Linked DNA regions of Drosophila melanogaster. The protein of the gene in region 1 purifies or fractionates together with the protein of each later gene. This does not show direct contact. Each region holds a gene or a part of one and is shown on either strand. Other genes may lie near its edges.

Evidence for each region.
Region 2: the proteins of Ptp61F (region 1) and Hem purify together in Drosophila melanogaster (affinity purification with western blotting; one study listed by BioGRID). This does not show direct contact.

The regions. Positions count from the first base shown.
Region 1 is NT_037436.4:1,342,381-1,353,448, reverse strand, and holds Ptp61F (protein tyrosine phosphatase 61F), read left to right. Parts: upstream 1-2,849; 5' UTR 2,850-2,972; coding exon 2,973-3,077; intron 3,078-3,906; exon of another isoform or gene 3,907-4,250; intron 4,251-6,998; coding exon 6,999-7,172; intron 7,173-7,243; coding exon 7,244-7,506; intron 7,507-7,584; coding exon 7,585-7,951; intron 7,952-8,287; coding exon 8,288-8,823; intron 8,824-8,919; coding exon 8,920-9,121; 3' UTR 9,122-9,466; downstream 9,467-11,068. Other genes in the region: CG9166 (uncharacterized protein), read right to left, coding at 1,418-1,596, 1,660-1,920, 1,978-2,263; indra, read left to right, coding at 11,058-11,068. UniProt on the Drosophila melanogaster protein: Non-receptor protein tyrosine phosphatase. Required for maintaining dock/dreadlocks in its non-phosphorylated state. Negative regulator of InR/insulin-like receptor signaling through dephosphorylation of tyrosines when recruited by dock/dreadlocks.
Region 2 is NT_037436.4:22,281,791-22,290,993, reverse strand, and holds Hem (HEM-protein), read left to right. Parts: upstream 1-2,798; 5' UTR 2,799-3,006; coding exon 3,007-4,186; intron 4,187-4,251; coding exon 4,252-6,452; 3' UTR 6,453-6,640; downstream 6,641-9,203. Other genes in the region: IleRS (Isoleucyl-tRNA synthetase), read right to left, coding at 1-681, 739-1,990, 2,055-2,197; Srpk79D (Serine-arginine protein kinase at 79D), read right to left, coding at 7,894-8,090, 8,162-8,432. UniProt on the Drosophila melanogaster protein: Plays a role during growth of the oocyte.

The DNA.
Region 1 (11,068 bases):
GGAATTTGTTTTTCAACCCATCGATACGGCGATTATGGGCTGATTATGGACGCGCCAAATCCCCCAGCGGAAAGTTCCTCCCATATCACATCACATGGCCAAGTGGAAAAGTGAAACGAGCGGCCGTAGCCCAATCCTCCTCACTCCACTCGCTGCTCCATCATTGCTGATTGACGTCGACAAATTGTATTAAAGCCGTTAATTGGCATTTCAAGATTTTCAGCAATTTCATAAAATTTAACGCCTATCATGTGTCGGCCAATTGGCGTCCGTCTGGCTCTTTGGCTCATTGGATTATCGCACCGTTCGCCGGACTGGCCATTGTTTGTTTTCATAAACACCATCGATAACTTATTTTCGAAAACGTATTTTAAAAATATTAAGTTCGAATTCTCCTCGTGACGCAACTGGCGCTGATGGCCTGCGAAGAAATGATTTCCAAATGCCAGGAGGATCTCCTTCTTGGACCCTAGTTCCCTGATTTTCCAATTTCATTCAGCATTCCGCTGGCCGGTGCAAATCCACAAATCAATGTGCTGAAAACAGCCTTGTTCACACCTCGCCCGATGACTATAAAAACACAATGAACATCGTTGAGTGGGCGTATTTATATTTTGAGCAAACAGTCGTTAAAAAACGCCGCAGGATATATTCGAGCCATTGAGATTTGAGTTTAATGGCTTTCTCTGAATGAATGGGAAATTCGATTGTGAAGTATAAAATCATTGGAATGCTTTCTGGTTCATAATATATTATTTTGCGTTTTTATTACAATTTGTTATCTATCAAACTGTACGGCTTCTTAAAGTTATTAAAACCCTAAATTACAGGATTAACTGTCTATTGTTGCATCTTCCAGTTGAATGGAGAAAATGTTCCGACGCGTTGCTACAACCAGATATACCGACAATATTCGATAAAGACAAATTAAAATACATCACATATCAAATATATAACAATTTGATTGTGACATTTCATAGATATAAGGGAATCTGCCTTTATTCTCTGAAAAGAAGAGTTATTTTCATTTTTTGCAGTATACTTTAGTGCGCACTTGTTATTATCAGATTTTCAGAAATAGGTGGCGCTAGCGTCGCTTGGCCATCTACAAAAGAATTTAGCTCCTGTTTGGAAATACTGCTGTCATATTCTGACGGATTATGGCTATTATTGCCCTATTAGAGCTCGATGTTAATAAAAATTACAGTTATTTTAAAGATGGCTGCCTGAGCGAATGCACCCAGTAAGAAACTAGAGATGGGCGATCGCATAGTTATTTTGGCCGTGACACGAGAATAACAAGTCTGACACGAAATATTTATTCATACCTTATTGTTTTTCCAAATCACACTGCAAGTGATCTCGCACGTACGCAGCTCTAAAGAGTTTTTTTTTATTAATAGTGAAATGTATTATTTTACGTCTTTAGTTTCGATTTGTCTACGAAAGAAAGGGGTGTTTGAGCCATGAAAATATCGCCATAGGGATTGGTGGGTTTTTGGCTTTCGCGGTCGAATTCGGAGCCAATGGCCCACAGCGACTCCAGATCGTATTCCTCGCGAGCACTCGGTGAAAATATGTGCAGGGCAATGTTGCCTAAAAGGAAACGGAACGTGTTAGAGCGGAGAAACCGGAATATGCATTTATTTCAATACCCACCCAAGTCCATGGCCATCCAATCCCGGCTCTTATCGCCCTCGATGCGCGGCAATATGTCACCCTTGCCCCGCTTGATCTTGAACATTCGGCGCACGAACTCCGCGGTGGACAGCATGTGTCGGTAACTGCGACCACTGCAAACCACCAGGTGGTCAACGTACTTCAGGTTCTCCGGCACGTAGCAGACGAATATGTCGTCCACATTCTCCTTGCGGAGCAGCTCCACCAAGTCCTCAACGTCGAACACTCCGCGAACACCTCCTGCAAAGGGAAACAAAGGCTTAAATTTCTGCTCTCCCTGGACGATTGCCAACCTACGCTTTAAATTGAGGCCGTAATAGTGATCCAGCTCCAGGTCCGGCTCTGGAAGTTGCTGCTCCTGGTGGCGTGCCTCTTCCACATCAAAAATCTCCGTGGCTTCCTCATCGCGGAATATTTTGTACTTGTCTTGCACGCCGGCAACCAAAGTCTTTTCGGGATTGCCTTCGATTTCCTGGCCCTTCGCTGCCTGTTGTGGCGGCTTGGAGAACTCGTGGTGGAAGCAACGCAGGACAGGCACACTCAGGCGCCTGTCGTGCACTAGGCGGAACACGCGGGTCAGCATTTTGCTTTGGCTTCTTTCTGTTGTTATTAATAAATTGGGTAACAGTTGTTGATTCGATACTTTTGGTATTACTCGATAACACTGGTCAACGATGAGCGATTGTAATATCGGTATTTTAAAGTATTTGAACCCAATTTTCTTATCAGAATTTTTCTATTTTACTTTTAAAATATTTTATTTTATTTTTTTTATTTTATTTTTATTTAAAATATTTTATTTCAATTGTTTTTATATTGTTATGTCTTTAGTTAAGTATTTAATTTTATATAAATTATAGAAAACTTATCCCGAATGTTATATTATGTTTCAGTAAAGTTCTAATTTCTGCGCAAGCACTTTAGTTTCAGTATGTGTTCTATTGCTCTACAGCGCCTGGTCACATTATTTGATGGTGAAAATATCGATAGACGTAACTAATATTTCAGAATAATAATGTCGCAGATACAATATATTGTGTTTGGCTTGCATTTGTAAATAGGAATCACCATAAGAGAATATAATATGTAATGCGATCAATATAGTGATGTACAATCGAACTATCACTCGGTATCGCACTGCAAATACCGATAGTATTTCGCAAGCTCAAATATTCGATACATCGACACTGTCGTGAGTTGTCCAGCTCTAGTTCTCCTCTGAAATTAACCAGCCGCCTGATAACCAAATTAAAAGTTATTAAATCGGAACAAATCGCAGCAAAGTGTGCACAATGAGCGAGCAGAAAACGAGTGGGAGTGGGTCGGCGGCCGCTGCCCGTCTGCAAATCGAGGCGGAGTACAAGGACAAGGGGCCGCAATGGCATCGCTTCTACAAGGTAATTGGCAACAACAACTGCGACTGCACTGAAAACTGGTTACAAACTGGACGAATGATTGTGGCACAGTTCGATTCGCCAAGGATTCGCAACGGATGCGGAGTATACACCTTTCCACAGCTCCTTGGCGCTCCGATTTCCACGAAAATGTGATGAGTGCGCAAAAGGCTTCTGCAGATGCCTCCACCACCAACACCAGTGCAGCGGCGAGCTTTACGTGTGTGCGTGTGTATTGTGTGTCAGTGCTGTTGTTGTTGCAGTTGTTGCTTTAACAGCCAGGCTTTGGCCAAAAACAAAAACCCATGGAAAAGAATGTACAAACAGAATAGCACCAACACACATACACGCACACCTGCTGCACTTTACTTTGCATTCTCCATCGAACGCGTGTGTGTGTGAGTTCGTGCGTGTGTATTGGCCTGTATTTGGCATATTTATGCTTGTTATTCTGCCATACCTTTCCCCAAAAACGCTTTCCTTTGACTATCAATAGAGCGCTTGAGCTATTCCGCGAATTCTCGTTTGGCCAAATCAAATTGGAGGCGATTTCTGGGAAGCTCGTTGTGTTTGTGATTGCCGTCCCCCAAAAACAAAATACAATTCGTGGAGGGGTGACAGTGCTCTCCACTGAAGAACTCCTCTAACGCGCGCACACACACACACACCCGCTCGCGTTGAGCAGGAGAGAGAGGCTCACGCACACAGGGGCACAAAGGGCATGCGTCTGGTTTTTTGAGTCTCGCTTTGGGCTGCTTCTGGTTGCCTGTCGGAATTGGAGTCGGAATCCTCTCCTTGCCCCTTCTTCTCTCCTCCTCCACCTCCACTCGTTCTTTATAGCCAGTTCCGGCGAACTGTCTTCAGCTGCTACTCCTCCTCCTCTGTTCCTCTGTGCCTCTTTCAGCGCTTCCACTCACTTGAATTGGGATTTCACGGAATTCCACTCCGCAGTTAGGATGACACAGTATATGGTCGTGTGTAGAAATATCTCGTTTCTGGACCCGCTCCTCGGCATCCTCGTTCGTCATCCTTTGTGCTCGCGTCGAGGATAATCTAATTTTCCAGCTAACTGGAAGGCAGCCCGCAATTGTGCGTCGAAACTGACTGGAAAATAGCTACCAGCCATTTCCACTGAAATACAGTGCAACTTGACTAAGACGATCTTGTTAGGCCAAAGTGAGATTTCAATAAACTTTCTTTAATCATATTTTCTCATTAAATCATAAATAGTTTTCAGCTTGATAATATTACTTTCGTGAAATTCATCTAAATTCGCTGAATTTTATATGTTCCATAGCATGTAAACGTTGACTCATTTTTGTTGCAATGAAAAACAACTATGATCAATGTGAAAACATCACATTTTTCGATGATTACTTTATGAATAAGACCGACCTACCCCAATTTTTACTTTAATAACATTTAGCTGTGCATGCTACTACATTTCTGAAGAAAATTATAATCCATTATAGGCACTTATCTGTCTTTATTATAGAAATTCCAAAACACATTCTTCTAAGAATTAATAAATCGCAAATATGTGTGAACATAAACGGTACAACTAATTTTGTGGTTATCATTAAAACTTCCAATTTATTTGACATTTGCCATATGATAGCCCATCATAGGGGATTTGGACTGTAGCCAAAAACGCAGTGACGCATTCGGACCGTATTGTTTTGCTATGCTTTGCTTTATGTTTAATCATTTCCATTGAACGAAGTGCGTTACACTGGGTCTTCTCAACTCGCCGCCCCTCCCCGCCTATCAGCTCATACCTAGCGCCTTCTCGATCCATCCGTTCCATCAACATCCCACCCAACCCACTCCGTCCCATTATGACAACCTCCGTGGACTGTGACGAAGCTCCTCCACAGCTATACCCTGCCAGAGGGTGTTATAGTCCTTACCAGTCGTTGGTATCAACAGGTGACCGTCTTCTTTTTCGTTTCTCTGGAAACAGTCAAGCCAGATTTTATGAAATATGAAACTTGTTAACTCGCATAGTGTGTGTGAAAGGGTATGTCAAATTCGTATTGGCCAAGAAGTCTTTATCCATCGTTGCAATTGTGCTCTGCGTGCATGCAATGTTTTTGTTACTGTTTCTCGATTTCCTTCGAGCGTTGCAAGGTAAAGCAGAAACATAATAACCATAAAACGGTTTGCACGACACGCTTTGGAAACCAAAGCCCCCGAGATTTCCGCGCCTTCGCTTGGATTTCGCCACTCCGTTTAGAAGGGTCACCTGGATAGCCACCGAGCATAAAAAACAGTATGTAGCTGGTAAACGGCCCAAGACTTAATGTTCAACGGAGCCGAAGAACTGTTTTCTCCATCAGAATGAATCCAATCCAAGCTATGGATTTACATAAGTTCCGGATGGATTGTTGATTTTATATATCATATCTAGTTTGATATAGTACAAGGAATACAACTTTATACATCATAAGTACACTGAAAGTCTTTATCATTGGCAAACATTTAAATAAAGCAGCTCAATTATCTGCGCGTATTCTCACGTGACTCGTCGATTATCAGACCTTAAATAGGTGATTGTAGAAATGCTATTGAGTTGAGGAGTTTCGAGAAATATTAAGTGCAACCATGGATTTCTTTCCGTTTCTAATTACGAATTATCAAATGTAGCGATAGCCATTGAGATTTTGCTCTTTGAAAAGCTTCCTTATCGGTCATTAGCCCGTCTCAGATTTGGAGATTACGTAAAAATATGACTCTTTAAAGTTATTTCATAACAGGTCAGCTGCAGAATTTGCAGCTGATTCATTGTTGAAACATGACGAACTGACAATTAACAACTGATTTTCGAGCTGCAATCAACGCGAGCTGATGGGTAACCATATTAAATGGTTACTCATCACCGCATGCATGTGATTAGCTTTGAGCCGAGTTTAAGGAGCACTTGTCGTCGCCAGGTGGTTGCCATTGACCTTGTTAACGGTTCGGTAGTCGGATTCGATGGTTCAATTGGCGGGGCCACTTTCAGCTGCGCCAGCAATTCCCCGTTCACACTGCTGATAATGCCGCACCGGTCATGCCCAAGATAATGCCATTACCGACAGCTTGCTTTGCCATCGCCATCACCAACATCGCATGGCTAATTAGTCACGCCCGCTATGTAGACTGGGTGGGCTTTTCATATGCCGCATGGTTCCCTCCCAGTCCGATGCCCCTTACATGTATCTACTATCGCTTCAATCGCAGGGTTTGCCAATCCGGAGGAGCCCCTTGTCGCTGGGCCAAGTGATGAATCACTGCAAAGGGGGCAACCCCCATGGAAAAAAACAAATTCGATTTCTGTAACATTCTAGCATTCTTCTAACAGGATCTTATCAATTCGTTTCTTGACAATTTGTTTGCGAGTCAGTCAAACAAATGTATCACTTTAAAACTAGTTATTATCAGACCATTATGAGTCTGAACGTTTTCATTTTCTCGGAACACAAATCGTAAAAAGCTTAATTGCGCCTTACAGTTTCTCAGTTTGTATGGTTCTAAAAGGAAGCTCTGATATTCGTTTTAACAATGCCATTCAATACTATTGTGCACTGCTATTTGCTGTTTGCTCTTGTATCGAAGAATTCGTTGGGTCATTTCATGCATAAATGTTTAATTAGTTTGAACTTTTGGTCTTATTACTGTCTTAGATAATTGAGTAACACGAAAACTATATTTTTTACGAATTTTGTACCAGAAAGAAGAGATCTTCCAGTAAGACACTATAGTAGTTGTCTTCTGGGGTCTGGAACGCTTAGGTAAATAGCGCAAATCTCACAAAATCCCCTGAATTACCGCCTGCAAATTGACTGATAAGTTGTCAGTAAAGCGACCGAATTTTAATACCACCTCAACCTTTGTTGTTATGGGTAGTTTCGATTGTACTAATCGCTCTTTTCGGAATTCCAGGAAATTTGTGAGACCTGCGACCGGGAGGCGAAGGAGAAGCAGTTCAGCACCTCGGAATCGGAACGCCACACGAACCGCGGCCTGAATCGCTATCGGGATGTGAATCCGTACGATCATTCCCGCATTGTTTTGAAGCGCGGCAGCGTAGACTACATCAATGCGAACCTGGTTCAGGTGGGTCACGTTTTTAATGCATACACACACCCCTAATTAAACGCCTAATGCGATCAATCAATCCTTTCTAGCTGGAGCGCGCCGAGCGCCAGTACATCCTGACCCAAGGACCGCTGGTGGACACAGTGGGCCACTTCTGGCTGATGGTATGGGAGCAGAAGTCCAGAGCAGTTCTCATGCTCAACAAGCTGATGGAGAAGAAACAGATCAAGTGCCACCTCTACTGGCCCAACGAGATGGGAGCCGACAAGGCCCTGAAACTGCCCCACGTCAAACTCACCGTGGAGCTCGTCCGTCTCGAGACCTACCAGAACTTTGTGCGGCGATGGTTCAAGTGAGTAGAACTCTTTATTCTTCTTCTGCTTCAAACCATTTGTACATGTGGACTAATTGCCTTTGACTATTTCTCTAGATTAACCGATCTCGAAACGCAGCAGAGTCGTGAAGTGATGCAGTTCCACTACACCACATGGCCGGACTTTGGCATTCCCAGCTCGCCGAACGCATTCCTTAAGTTCTTGCAGCAGGTTCGCGACTCCGGCTGCCTCAGCCGCGACGTGGGTCCAGCCGTAGTGCACTGCAGTGCCGGAATCGGGCGGTCGGGCACCTTCTGCCTGGTGGACTGTTGCCTGGTACTTATCGACAAGTACGGAGAGTGCAATGTGTCCAAGGTGCTCTGCGAGCTGCGCAGCTACCGCATGGGCCTCATACAGACCGCCGACCAGCTGGACTTCTCCTACCAGGCGATCATCGAGGGCATTAAAAAGCTGCACGATCCCGTATGTATGCGCGACCAGCGGTCGGCGTTTGGGAGTCAAACTTGGGGGCTGCCAAGCACCGCCGTATATATTGCACATCGCTATTTATTCTGGGGGGTCACAGAAATCTCTGGGCTTGGTTATGGTTACTAGAATTCATATTGTTTAATGGAATTATGATTACTTTTGAAAACTGTATTATGTTTAGTTTTGTTTTTTATTATGTGATCTAGTATCAGCTTAATGATTATTGTTTAATTGATGCGAAAAAGAAACCATTGTTTTTGGTTTGCAGAGATTTCTGTGAAGGCCCTGATTATTTTCCGCGACTAATTAGAACATTTGATTTCTCTTCAGACCTTTCTTGACGCTGAAGAACCCCTCATTAGCAACGACACAGAGACTCACACACTGGATGAGCTGCCGCCGCCATTGCCCCCACGCGTCCAATCGCTTAATCTGCCACTGGCCCCCAATTCCGGCGGTATACTTTCGCTCAATATGCGCGCGGCCCAGGCTAATGGAGCTGAAAGTATCGGCAAAGAGCTGAGCAAGGACGCCCTGAACAACTTCATTAATCAGCACGACATGATCCACGATGCCGAGGTGGCCGACAGTCGTCCCTTGCCGCCATTACCCGTAAGGGCTTTCAACGATTCGGACAGCGATGAGGATTACTTGCTGGATGACGATGACGAGGACGACACCGATGAGGATGAGGAGTACGAGACCATTAACGAGCACGATGCCGATCCAGTTAATGGACACGTGCCCGCGACAACACAGCCACATGCCGACGATGTTAATGCCAACAACGAGAAGCCAGCGGTGCCAGTCGACGAGCAGCACAAGGCGAACGGCATCGATCCAATTCCAGGCCAGCTCCCAGCCAGGTAAGAATCTAGTCTTAGATCTGCTCAGTATCTATTTTTCAACCGCCTAGTCAAACAAAAATCCCTCTAATCCCCTTCCAAATTCGTACTTTTCAGTCCCGAGAACGAGCTGAAGCGGCGAAAACGCAACGAATACCAGGCCAGCCTGGAGCAGAAGGTCAACGACATGAAGCGGAAGCAGCGGGAGAACGAGGACAAACAGCTGGCGGCAAAGAAACGAAGGTCATTACTCACATATATTGCCGCTGGTGTTGTGGTGGGCGTGATCTGCGCCTACGCATACACGAAGCTAGGTTAAGTGCCCCGTAGCCACTAAGTAGTCGTAGATCAGTAGTAGCAATAGCTGTATGACGTATTTAGTTGCCGTAGGAGACCGATTCCTCCCCTGATACCCGATTTCCGACTTCCGATCCCCACCTGCTCGTCCGCCTGACCCGGCATCTAATGCGGGCAACGAATCAAGGACGACGTGCAACGGATCGGAAAGGATCAGAGATCGGACGGAATCGCATCGCAACGCCATGCAATCGCACACGAATTGCGGATGGCGGATTGATTGAGCTGAACGAACGATACAAGATGCATAAATATTAGGGAATTTTTTATATACGAAATACAAGAAGGAAAACAAAAGAAACAAATGAAAGAAAAGAAGCAACTAAACTAAACTAACGAAAATCGGGTAGAAATCACGTCAAATGTAGATTTTGCGCAATAGACTGACATTTTAGATCAAATTTATTTTCTACACTCTAAAAATGGATTGATAACCGACCAGATGCCCCAAACGAGCCATACCAAATGCAAAGCTCACCCTACTTGCTCGCTATGCTTAAAATATTAAGAATATCATAACTACCAATGTTTCAAGCACCCGACAACCACCCACTACACGCTTCACTTGTTGTTGTACAGCAATTTCTTATAGCATACGACCTATGTATATTTATTTATGAAGATTATGAGAAACCACCACTTGTTGTAGTACATGGCAAAATATAAAGTGCAGCAATGTGCCAAAAAGAACCGAATCGGAGAATTGTACGAAGTGTCCTAAACGACTCTTAATTTTACTTTGCCTCCCGCCTACCACTACCACTAACTTTGAATTGTTGTGTTTAAAATTAAAGACCCTGTCCCCCCTTAAACGAGCACTTTATTAATGAATCGAAATTCAGCGCCATTAAAGCAATAACTTACGGTTAAACAAAACAGCTCGATGTACACCTATATCTCGTTTAACGCTTTTAAGGAGTGTTATAATCAAAATTGTTCATTTCGCACACTCGCCCCCGATCGATCTGAAATCAAAATAAAGTGATTCTTTTTTCAAATTGTGACCGTGGACTAGTTGCACGTGGCTAGTTGCAAATCAAATTAAACTAAAATCGGTTTACTAAGTCGCTAAGCGAAGTATAGGTGTATGATTTAATTATAATCCAGGTTTTGCCATAGCGAAACCATTTTGTATTAGAACGAGAGAACGAAGAAGGCGAAAGACTATTCAATGGTTTTTCCAGTAGAGTAAGTGTGCAGTCCCAATCCCAAGAAACATATTTATATAAACGTGTAGCGTGAGAGGACGCAAATATTTTTTATATGTGTAACCCACACTTTAACAAAATTCAAGTAACCACCCCCGAAAGCGAGGCACTATGAATCCATATGAAATCGGATGGGCCCAGGAGGATAACAAATAAAGGAAATACATATTTATATTAAGTATATTTAACAGAAACAACATGAACAATACCTAGTAATGCCTAGTTAACTAAACGTCGGCTAAGTACACCAACCGTACACTGAAACAAATCCAACACAACACAGTACTATACAATATTATGCCTATGAGAGAAAGAGAAAGGAGGAGCAGAGAAAGTATTCAAATAAAGCTATACGTTTAAGACATGAAAACTGCGAACCGCTTGATCCTGGCGCATTCCCTTGCCATGTCCTTGTCATTCATAACATTTTTCATCTCTTTGTTTGCAGGCGCGGGAACCGACTCAAAAAATCCAAGACAAAGTAACGGCACAGCCCATCCAGGTCAGCACCAACACAAAGAAACAAACTAAACATATCATTTTGCATTACTGTAGCTTCTAATGCCTAAATAAACTATTTTTAAATTGGAAACCAAGTTCAGAGTTATCGATTATATATCGACACGCAAAGCTGTTGCATAACGCGACGTGAGCATTAACAGAATGTTAATGTAACTTAGTGTGACCGGAATGCGCAATAT
Region 2 (9,203 bases), about 21 Mb from region 1:
AGTATATTGTCCATTTCCTGCCAAATCCTCCTTCTCATATCGAACGATATTTTGTAGTAAGAATCGGTATGCATTGTACCACGGTAGGAACACATCTTTGATTATGTCGCGCACACCTTCTTCCTTAAAACGCAGACTCTCGGCCCTTACGACGGGCGAATTGATAAGGTACAGTCGGAGAGCATCCGCTCCATACTTATGGACCACCTCCATTGGATCGGGATAGTTCTTCTTGCGCTTCGACATTTTTTGACCATCAGCAGCTAAGACCAGTCCACTTGCAATGAGGTTTTTAAATGGTGCCTTATTAAATAGCGCCGTCGAAATCACAAGGAGTGTGTAAAACCAGCCTCGGGTCTGATCGATACCCTCTGCTATAAAGTCAGCCGGGAAATTGTTCATAAAGTCCTTTTCGTTTTCAAAAGGGAAATGCTGTTGTGCGAACGGCATTGAACCTGATTCAAACCAACAGTCAAAAACAGGAGCTATGCGACGCAGTGGTGGATTTCCAGGAACTGCCGATGGTATTTCAATGTGGTCGATACTTTCTCTATGAAGATCCTCGACTTGAACGCCGGAAAGCTCGGCTAACTGCTTGATACTGCCGATAACGACGGTCTCATCACCGCTAGGCGACCTCCAGATAGGAATCGGCGTGCCCCAGTAGCGATTGCGGGAGATCTAGATATATAATTTGATTTAAAAACATAACAAAAAAGTTTCCTTTACAAAACTTACAGCCCAATCTCTGGCCTCTTTCAGCCAGTTTCCAAAACGTTTCTCCTTGACGAAGTCCGGCACCCAGTACGTTTGGGAACTGCAATCAAGCAGGTTTTTAGACATGTGCTCGACGCGCACAAACCAGGAAGGAACCGCCTTATAGATAAGAGGCGTGTCTGACCGCCAGCAGAATGGGTAGCTATGCTTCACCTGGCCACTGGAAACCAAGTTTCCTCGTGCCTTCAGCGCGGCCATTATTTGCTTATCAGAATCTTTGACGTATTGGCCCTCGAAATCGCTTGCCTCGTTAGTAAACCGTCCTGCCTCGTCCACTGGGCAGAGAACCTCACTGGACTTTGTGATGAGGCCCGCAGCGAGGCACACACGATAATCGTCTTCTCCGAAGTAGGGAGCATTGTGCACAATACCCGTACCGGAATCCTCAGTCACGTACTCGTCGACCAGGACACGATAAGCTTTCACCTCAGCTCCTCGCTTCGCAAAGTAAGGGAAAAGCGGCTTGTAGTGAAGGTCCTTAAGGGTTTTGCCAACAAACTTTTCCTTCACTTCGTACTCCGTCTCCGATTTGTACACGTAAGAGAGACGAGACTCTGCGAGAACAAAAAGTCGGTCGCTCTTTACGTCGCGCACTTTTACATAGGTCATCGTCGGATGAACACAGCATGCGAAGTTTGAGGGCAGTGTCCATGGCGTGGTGGTCCACACTAGGAAGAAGGTATTGGGCAACGAAACGGCCTCCAGTGCAACTACTACGCAAGGGTCCACAACCTCCTTGTAGTTTTGGTTGGCCTCGAAGTTCGAAAGGGACGTTGTGCAGGCGGTGGAATAGGGCATCACCTTAACGCCCTGGTAGACCAGACCCTTGTCGAACAGTTGCTTGAAGATCCACCAAATGGACTCCATGTACCATGGGTACAACGTCTTGTAATCGTTCTTGAAGTCAATCCAGCGACCCACGCGCGTCACCACATTCTCCCACTCATCTGCGTAACGCATGACAATCTTCCGGCACTCGGCATTGTAGGCTGCGATTCCCATCTTGGCCACGTCCTCAGGACCCTTGATATTCAGCAGCTTGTCAATCTCGAACTCCACGGGCAGTCCGTGGCAATCCCAGCCGAAGCGACGGTCCACATGGTATCCCTGCTGGTATGCGTACCGTGTGACGATGTCCTTGATGGTGCCAGCAAGAATGTGTCCGTAGTGGGGCAGCCCGGTTGCAAAGGGCGGTCCATCGTAGAACGTGTATCTTGGAGGTGGAAAATTAGCACAAAATTTGGCGATCGGCTGATGCAATCGTATGCGGCACTTACTTGGGCTTTCCCTTCGACAGCTGGCTGCACTTTTCAAAGATATTTTCGTGTCGCCATTTCTGCAGTACGTTCTCCTCCTCGGCCGGGAAATTAATGTTCTCTGGCACCCGACACACGTCGTTCCGCTCTAGTTTTTTTCCCATGGCTGTCAAAGTTCACTGTTGTATTATTTATCAAGTAACAGAGCTTATTCGCCCACCTTTTATATCAGAAATTCAACTGACTTGCGGCGTTTTTGCGTGGCACACAACGTGCCCGAGGTACGGAACTAGTGGTTCATTAATCGCTCTCTAGCTCATGGGTTCGCGATATCGATAGTAGGTTCCGATGAGCGGCATCCTTGATAATCAGCTGACGACAGCACTGAAAAAAAAAGAAAGGCTTATTTACTATTAACAACTTTAATAAATTTGTTAGCCATAAGAATAAAAAACTGAACTGTAAGTTACTAAGTAAGAAAGCCATTGGCAATTGAATGAATAAACTATGCAATAGTTTTGAAAGCAATTATTCCTGACTTAGACAAATAATTCTAATAAATTAAAACCCCAAATACCAGCTATTATTAATTTGTAGTATAACCAAATTACTGTAATATATAATTATAAAAAAATTATCTTAAATTATATTAAGCCATATGTTTTTTTTCTCAGCAGTATATTTTCTTTTTAACAATCAATAGTTTAGCATATATATGGTAGCTATCGTTATCGATAGCAATATATCTTTGCTATCAGCCCATTGGTCATCACTAACGCGAAAACAAGAGGAAGAGTAATGTGTACACTTTTGTGTCGCTCCTTTTCGGCCAATTTAACAAACGAAAAAGTATAAGTACTGGGCAAATCAGCACTTGCACGCCTCCCAATACGTCTCGCCAGCGCACACCTGTGTTCTGGGCTCCACCGGAAACTCGCCTTCAGCCATTCGACGTCGCCAACAGTCATCGGATATGGCACGCCCAATTTTTCCGAACCAGCAGAAGATAGCTGAGAAACTAATCATCTTGAATGACCGCGGCCTGGGCATTCTTACGCGGATATACAACATCAAGAAAGCATGCGGCGACACCAAGTCGAAGCCAGGCTTCCTCTCCGAGAAGTCGTTGGAATCGAGCATCAAGTTTATCGTGAAGCGGTTCCCCAACATCGACGTCAAAGGGCTCAATGCTATTGTAAACATCAAAGCGGAGATTATTAAGTCGCTGTCCCTGTATTACCACACATTCGTGGACCTACTTGATTTCAAGGACAATGTATGCGAACTGCTCACCACGATGGACGCCTGCCAGATTCACCTGGACATCACATTGAACTTCGAGCTGACCAAATATTATCTGGACTTGGTTGTGACCTACGTGTCCTTGATGATTGTTTTGTCTAGGGTCGAGGACCGCAAGGCAGTTCTGGGCTTGTACAATGCCGCCTACGAGCTGCAAAACAATCAGGCGGACACGGGCTTCCCCCGCTTGGGGCAGATGATTCTGGACTACGAGGTCCCCTTAAAAAAGTTGGCCGAGGAATTCATTCCCCACCAGCGCCTGCTAACCAGTGCGTTGCGGTCGCTGACCTCCATCTATGCACTGCGAAACCTGCCAGCAGACAAGTGGAGGGAAATGCAAAAGTTGAGTCTGGTAGGCAATCCGGCCATTCTTCTTAAGGCCGTCCGCACTGACACCATGTCCTGCGAGTACATATCCCTGGAGGCAATGGACCGCTGGATAATCTTTGGCTTGCTGCTGAACCATCAAATGCTCGGACAGTACCCGGAAGTCAACAAAATCTGGCTCTCCGCCCTGGAGTCAAGCTGGGTTGTGGCCTTGTTCCGCGACGAGGTCCTGCAAATTCATCAATACATTCAGGCTACTTTCGACGGAATTAAAGGTTACAGCAAGCGGATCGGAGAAGTAAAGGAAGCCTACAACACGGCGGTTCAAAAAGCTGCTTTAATGCATCGGGAGCGGCGCAAGTTTCTTCGAACAGCCTTGAAGGAGCTAGCTCTTATTATGACCGACCAACCAGGCCTCCTGGGACCTAAGGCAATATTCATTTTCATCGGTCTTTGTCTTGCGCGCGATGAGATTCTATGGCTCCTCAGGCATAATGACAACCCACCTCTTCTCAAAAATAAAGGTTAGTTAAGGATTTTCTTACGATTAAATTAAAATTTGTGAACCTTAACTATTTTAAATTTATAGGAAAGAGCAATGAAGATCTTGTAGACCGACAGCTGCCGGAGCTCTTATTCCACATGGAGGAACTCCGCGCTCTTGTGCGTAAATACAGCCAGGTAATGCAGCGATATTACGTGCAATACTTGTCCGGATTCGATGCCACGGATCTTAATATTCGAATGCAAAGTCTGCAAATGTGTCCAGAAGACGAAAGCATAATCTTCAGTTCGCTCTACAACACGGCTGCAGCCCTGACAGTTAAGCAGGTGGAAGACAACGAACTCTTTTATTTCCGACCATTCCGCCTGGACTGGTTCCGCCTCCAAACGTACATGAGTGTGGGAAAGGCTGCACTTAGGATCGCAGAGCATGCAGAGCTGGCCCGCCTACTGGATTCAATGGTTTTCCACACTAGGGTGGTAGATAACTTGGACGAAATACTAGTAGAAACCTCGGATCTCAGTATCTTCTGTTTCTATAACAAAATGTTTGACGACCAATTCCACATGTGCTTGGAGTTTCCCGCGCAGAACCGCTACATCATAGCGTTTCCCTTAATCTGCAGCCACTTCCAAAATTGTACGCACGAAATGTGCCCGGAGGAGCGACACCATATACGTGAAAGGTCTCTCAGCGTGGTAAATATATTTCTTGAGGAAATGGCTAAGGAGGCTAAAAACATTATAACCACAATTTGCGATGAGCAGTGCACAATGGCAGACGCTCTATTGCCAAAACACTGTGCTAAGATTCTTTCCGTACAATCTGCTCGTAAGAAGAAGGACAAATCGAAGTCTAAGCATTTTGACGACATACGAAAGCCGGGAGACGAGTCGTACCGAAAGACACGAGAGGATCTGACGACGATGGACAAGTTGCACATGGCCCTGACGGAGCTTTGTTTTGCAATCAATTATTGCCCCACGGTCAACGTTTGGGAGTTTGCTTTTGCCCCTCGCGAGTATCTCTGTCAGAACCTGGAACACCGCTTTTCCCGGGATCTTGTTGGCATGGTGATGTTCAACCAGGAGACAATGGAGATAGCCAAGCCCTCGGAGCTGCTGGCCAGCGTTCGAGCCTACATGAACGTGCTGCAGACAGTAGAGAACTACGTGCACATAGACATAACACGAGTTTTCAACAACTGCCTGTTGCAGCAAACACAGGCTTTAGACTCTCATGGCGAGAAAACCATTGCCGCTTTGTACAACACCTGGTACAGTGAGGTTCTGCTAAGGCGTGTCTCCGCTGGCAACATTGTGTTCTCCATTAACCAAAAGGCTTTTGTTCCCATTTCGCCCGAGGGCTGGGTACCATTTAACCCGCAGGAATTCTCTGATCTCAACGAGCTGCGAGCACTTGCAGAACTTGTGGGACCTTACGGTATCAAAACATTGAACGAAACACTTATGTGGCACATAGCAAACCAGGTGCAAGAGTTGAAGTCGCTGGTGAGCACCAACAAGGAAGTGCTCATTACACTGCGAACCAGTTTTGACAAACCTGAAGTGATGAAGGAGCAATTTAAGCGCTTACAGGACGTGGACCGCGTGCTGCAACGCATGACGATCATTGGTGTGATCATATGTTTCCGCAACCTGGTGCATGAAGCCCTCGTTGATGTGCTGGACAAGCGCATACCCTTCCTGCTTAGCTCAGTGAAGGACTTTCAGGAACATTTGCCCGGAGGCGACCAAATTAGGGTTGCTTCCGAGATGGCCTCAGCAGCGGGTCTGCTATGCAAGGTAGACCCCACATTAGCAACTACACTGAAATCAAAAAAGCCAGAATTCGATGAGGGTGAGCACCTCACTGCCTGTCTACTGATGGTCTTTGTGGCAGTGTCTATACCAAAACTGGCCCGTAACGAAAATTCCTTCTACAGAGCCACAATTGATGGCCACTCAAATAACACGCACTGCATGGCGGCGGCCATTAATAACATCTTCGGAGCCCTGTTTACCATCTGCGGTCAAAGTGACATGGAGGACCGCATGAAAGAGTTCCTTGCTCTGGCCAGTTCTTCCCTACTGCGCTTGGGCCAGGAGTCCGACAAAGAGGCGACACGGAACCGAGAGTCCATCTATTTGCTGCTGGACGAAATCGTCAAACAATCGCCCTTCCTCACAATGGATCTGCTTGAGTCCTGCTTTCCCTACGTGCTTATACGCAACGCGTACCATGGCGTATACAAGCAGGAACAGATCTTAGGGCTGGCACTCTAAATGGAGCCGATCTGTGTATTCCACATAATGCTTATGTAGTTTATCCGCCGATCGACTATCGATCACTATGCTAATCTAACATACTTTAAAACTGTTAAACATACCCAAATGTATTCTAGACTCTGCATTTTTATACTCGTACGACTTCGAATAAAGTGCTTATACAACCCAAATAAGTATCCCACATTAATAAGCTGTCTCTAGATCGGATCGGTATGTATATTCTTTATTTCGGCTTATTGAAATATGTGTCCACTCCCGCGAACGTGCAGCTCCTCCGCTTCAATTTCTGTTAAATTTCATTTGGACACATGCGCACACGTGTGTGTATATTAAATATGAGTTTGGGGGAAAAATCTTCCGCAATATTAAATTATTTGGTCACGTTCAATGTTACTTTGTAGGCTTGTGTACAAATACTTGTAGGCAAGTAGTAAAATATGTTTTCGTTATTTTGTAATATGATTTCTCAGTAGTTATCATTGGTAGTATTTAAATTTCGATTTTGAGTTTTCAATTCCGATACAAAGACTTTTATGCAATGATTTATTATTGTTTTTAATTCTTTTTGAATTACATGATCTGGGATAGGTTCTTTTTCACGGATGGTTAAATGATAAGTTTTGCAAACCGAAATCGGGTAAGTAGGGCATCTTTTCAAATCTGCTCGTAATCAACATAGGCCTAAACATCTACAAATGGGTTCGGTTAAATGTACCAAAATCACTACACTCTGCTAAAAAGCTGTCAATATTTGAGTTTACATCTGTATTTGTGAACATTCTCGATATCTACAATGGGGTTTCGTTAATTATACACATACTTGCTTATTAATATTATAGAAGGTATTGTTATTTATGTGATGCTGAATATTTTGCTAGTTCGTACAATCTATTTAGCATTTCTCACTGATTTGGTTTTACTTGGTTTCGCATGAAAATGTATTCCTTTTCAGTCAGTCAGTTTAGGCATCTGTTGACTAAAAATTGTCGTCATTGTCTTTTGTTTTTGTTTCTCAGTTAATAAAAAATATATGTGTATATGTATGTATATACTTATATGCACGTCGTCGAAATAAAACTTGAAAAACATTTGCGCTACTTCTCTCGTTTGCTTTTGTCGTTAAAAGTAAAATCGCTTCTTTAGTAATTACATTTTAAAGCTCTCAAGTACAAAAATTAAAAAGCTTAAAAAATTCGACGCGGAACGCCCCCACATCGTCCGCATTTCGTAAGTGTAAAATGTGTGTGCTTCGATCGAGTCCTTTAATGCTAGCTCCTCATCCCATTTTCCTGCTACCTCCTCTTTATGGCAAATTGTTTGCATATAAAAGTTAAGCCTAGAAATACAATACGAGTACGAAATACGTATGTTATGTATGCAATATTTTACTGTGCCTATGCCTGTGTCTCTCTGGCTGTCTAGTCACTCCATGAGCCTCTTAGACGAACTCCTCCTGCTCCAACCACGGATGCTGCAGGCACTCCGCTGCCGACGCCCGTATAACCGGATTGTACTCAAGCATGGGCAGCAGAAAGTCGGAGAACTTCTTGGCCTCCACCGGGTCCCAGTCGTACTTCTCCACCAGCACGTTCATTAGACTCCAGGGCTTCAGCTTGGTGATGTTCCTCAGGCTACCTGCAAATGGGAATCAACAGGGGTCACACATCACACACCATTCCTTGAGCTAAATTCGATTTGATACCTACCATAGCTGGTGAAGTACTTCAGCCCGTGCTTACCGCGGAAGATCACCGACTGCGGTATGGAGCCCAGCAGCTCCACAATATGCGCCAAGTGGTCCTCGTCCCGACTGTAAGACTCTCCGGCGTGAGGGTCGAACAGGTAGTCGCCGGTGGCCAGCTCGAAGGCCAAACAGGCTGTGCTCCAGATGTCGGCGGTATAATTGTACGGCGCTCCCAAAAGAACCTCGATTGATCGATACTGGCGAGTCTGAATGTCCTCAGTAAAGTGATGGTACTGAGAATTCATAGAAAGCCGAAAACGGACTTATTACTTTTGAAAACCATGTGCGGGGTCGTGTTTCCGACCTTAAAAGGTATATATTCTCGGTCAGGATTACTAGAAGAGTTTATCTGGCCATGTCCTTCTGCCTTGCAATTTCTATTGATATGCCAAAACATTTTGCCCACTCTAATGCCTACAAACCACAAAAAACTGTCACGCCCTCAATTCGGAAAATTATCCCTCCCACGTCCACTATTTAGGTAGACCTGATTTCTTGAAATTTTCTGATTTGCATTTTCTATAGACAATTGGTCCCATTCTAATAAAATAAAAACCGTAATAGAATAATGGCAAAAAATTGGTTTATACCGAATCGGAAGAATCTAAAGTACAAATAACTCCATACCCCCTTTAAAGTAAAGTAAAAGGGTTCACTAGAATCATTGAAAAGTATGTAACAGGTAGAGTGAAGTGTTATTTTGGATGCCATATAGCCATGTTCGTTTGTTCTTCTGTCCGTATGAACTACTCGATCTCAGGACCTATAAAAGCTCGAATGTTGAGATTAGGCTGATTCCAGATGTTGCCAATAATCAAAACTGCCACGCGCAAATAAAACAATTTTGGATATTGAAATTTTCTAGTTTGCATTCCTGATTATGAATATACATACATATATACTTTATTGAGTCATACTGAGTCATAATCTACGAGTGAAATCATGATGATGTGTTTATCTGACGCGAAAATATATATATTTGAAGCTTTAAGCATCTAAAAGGA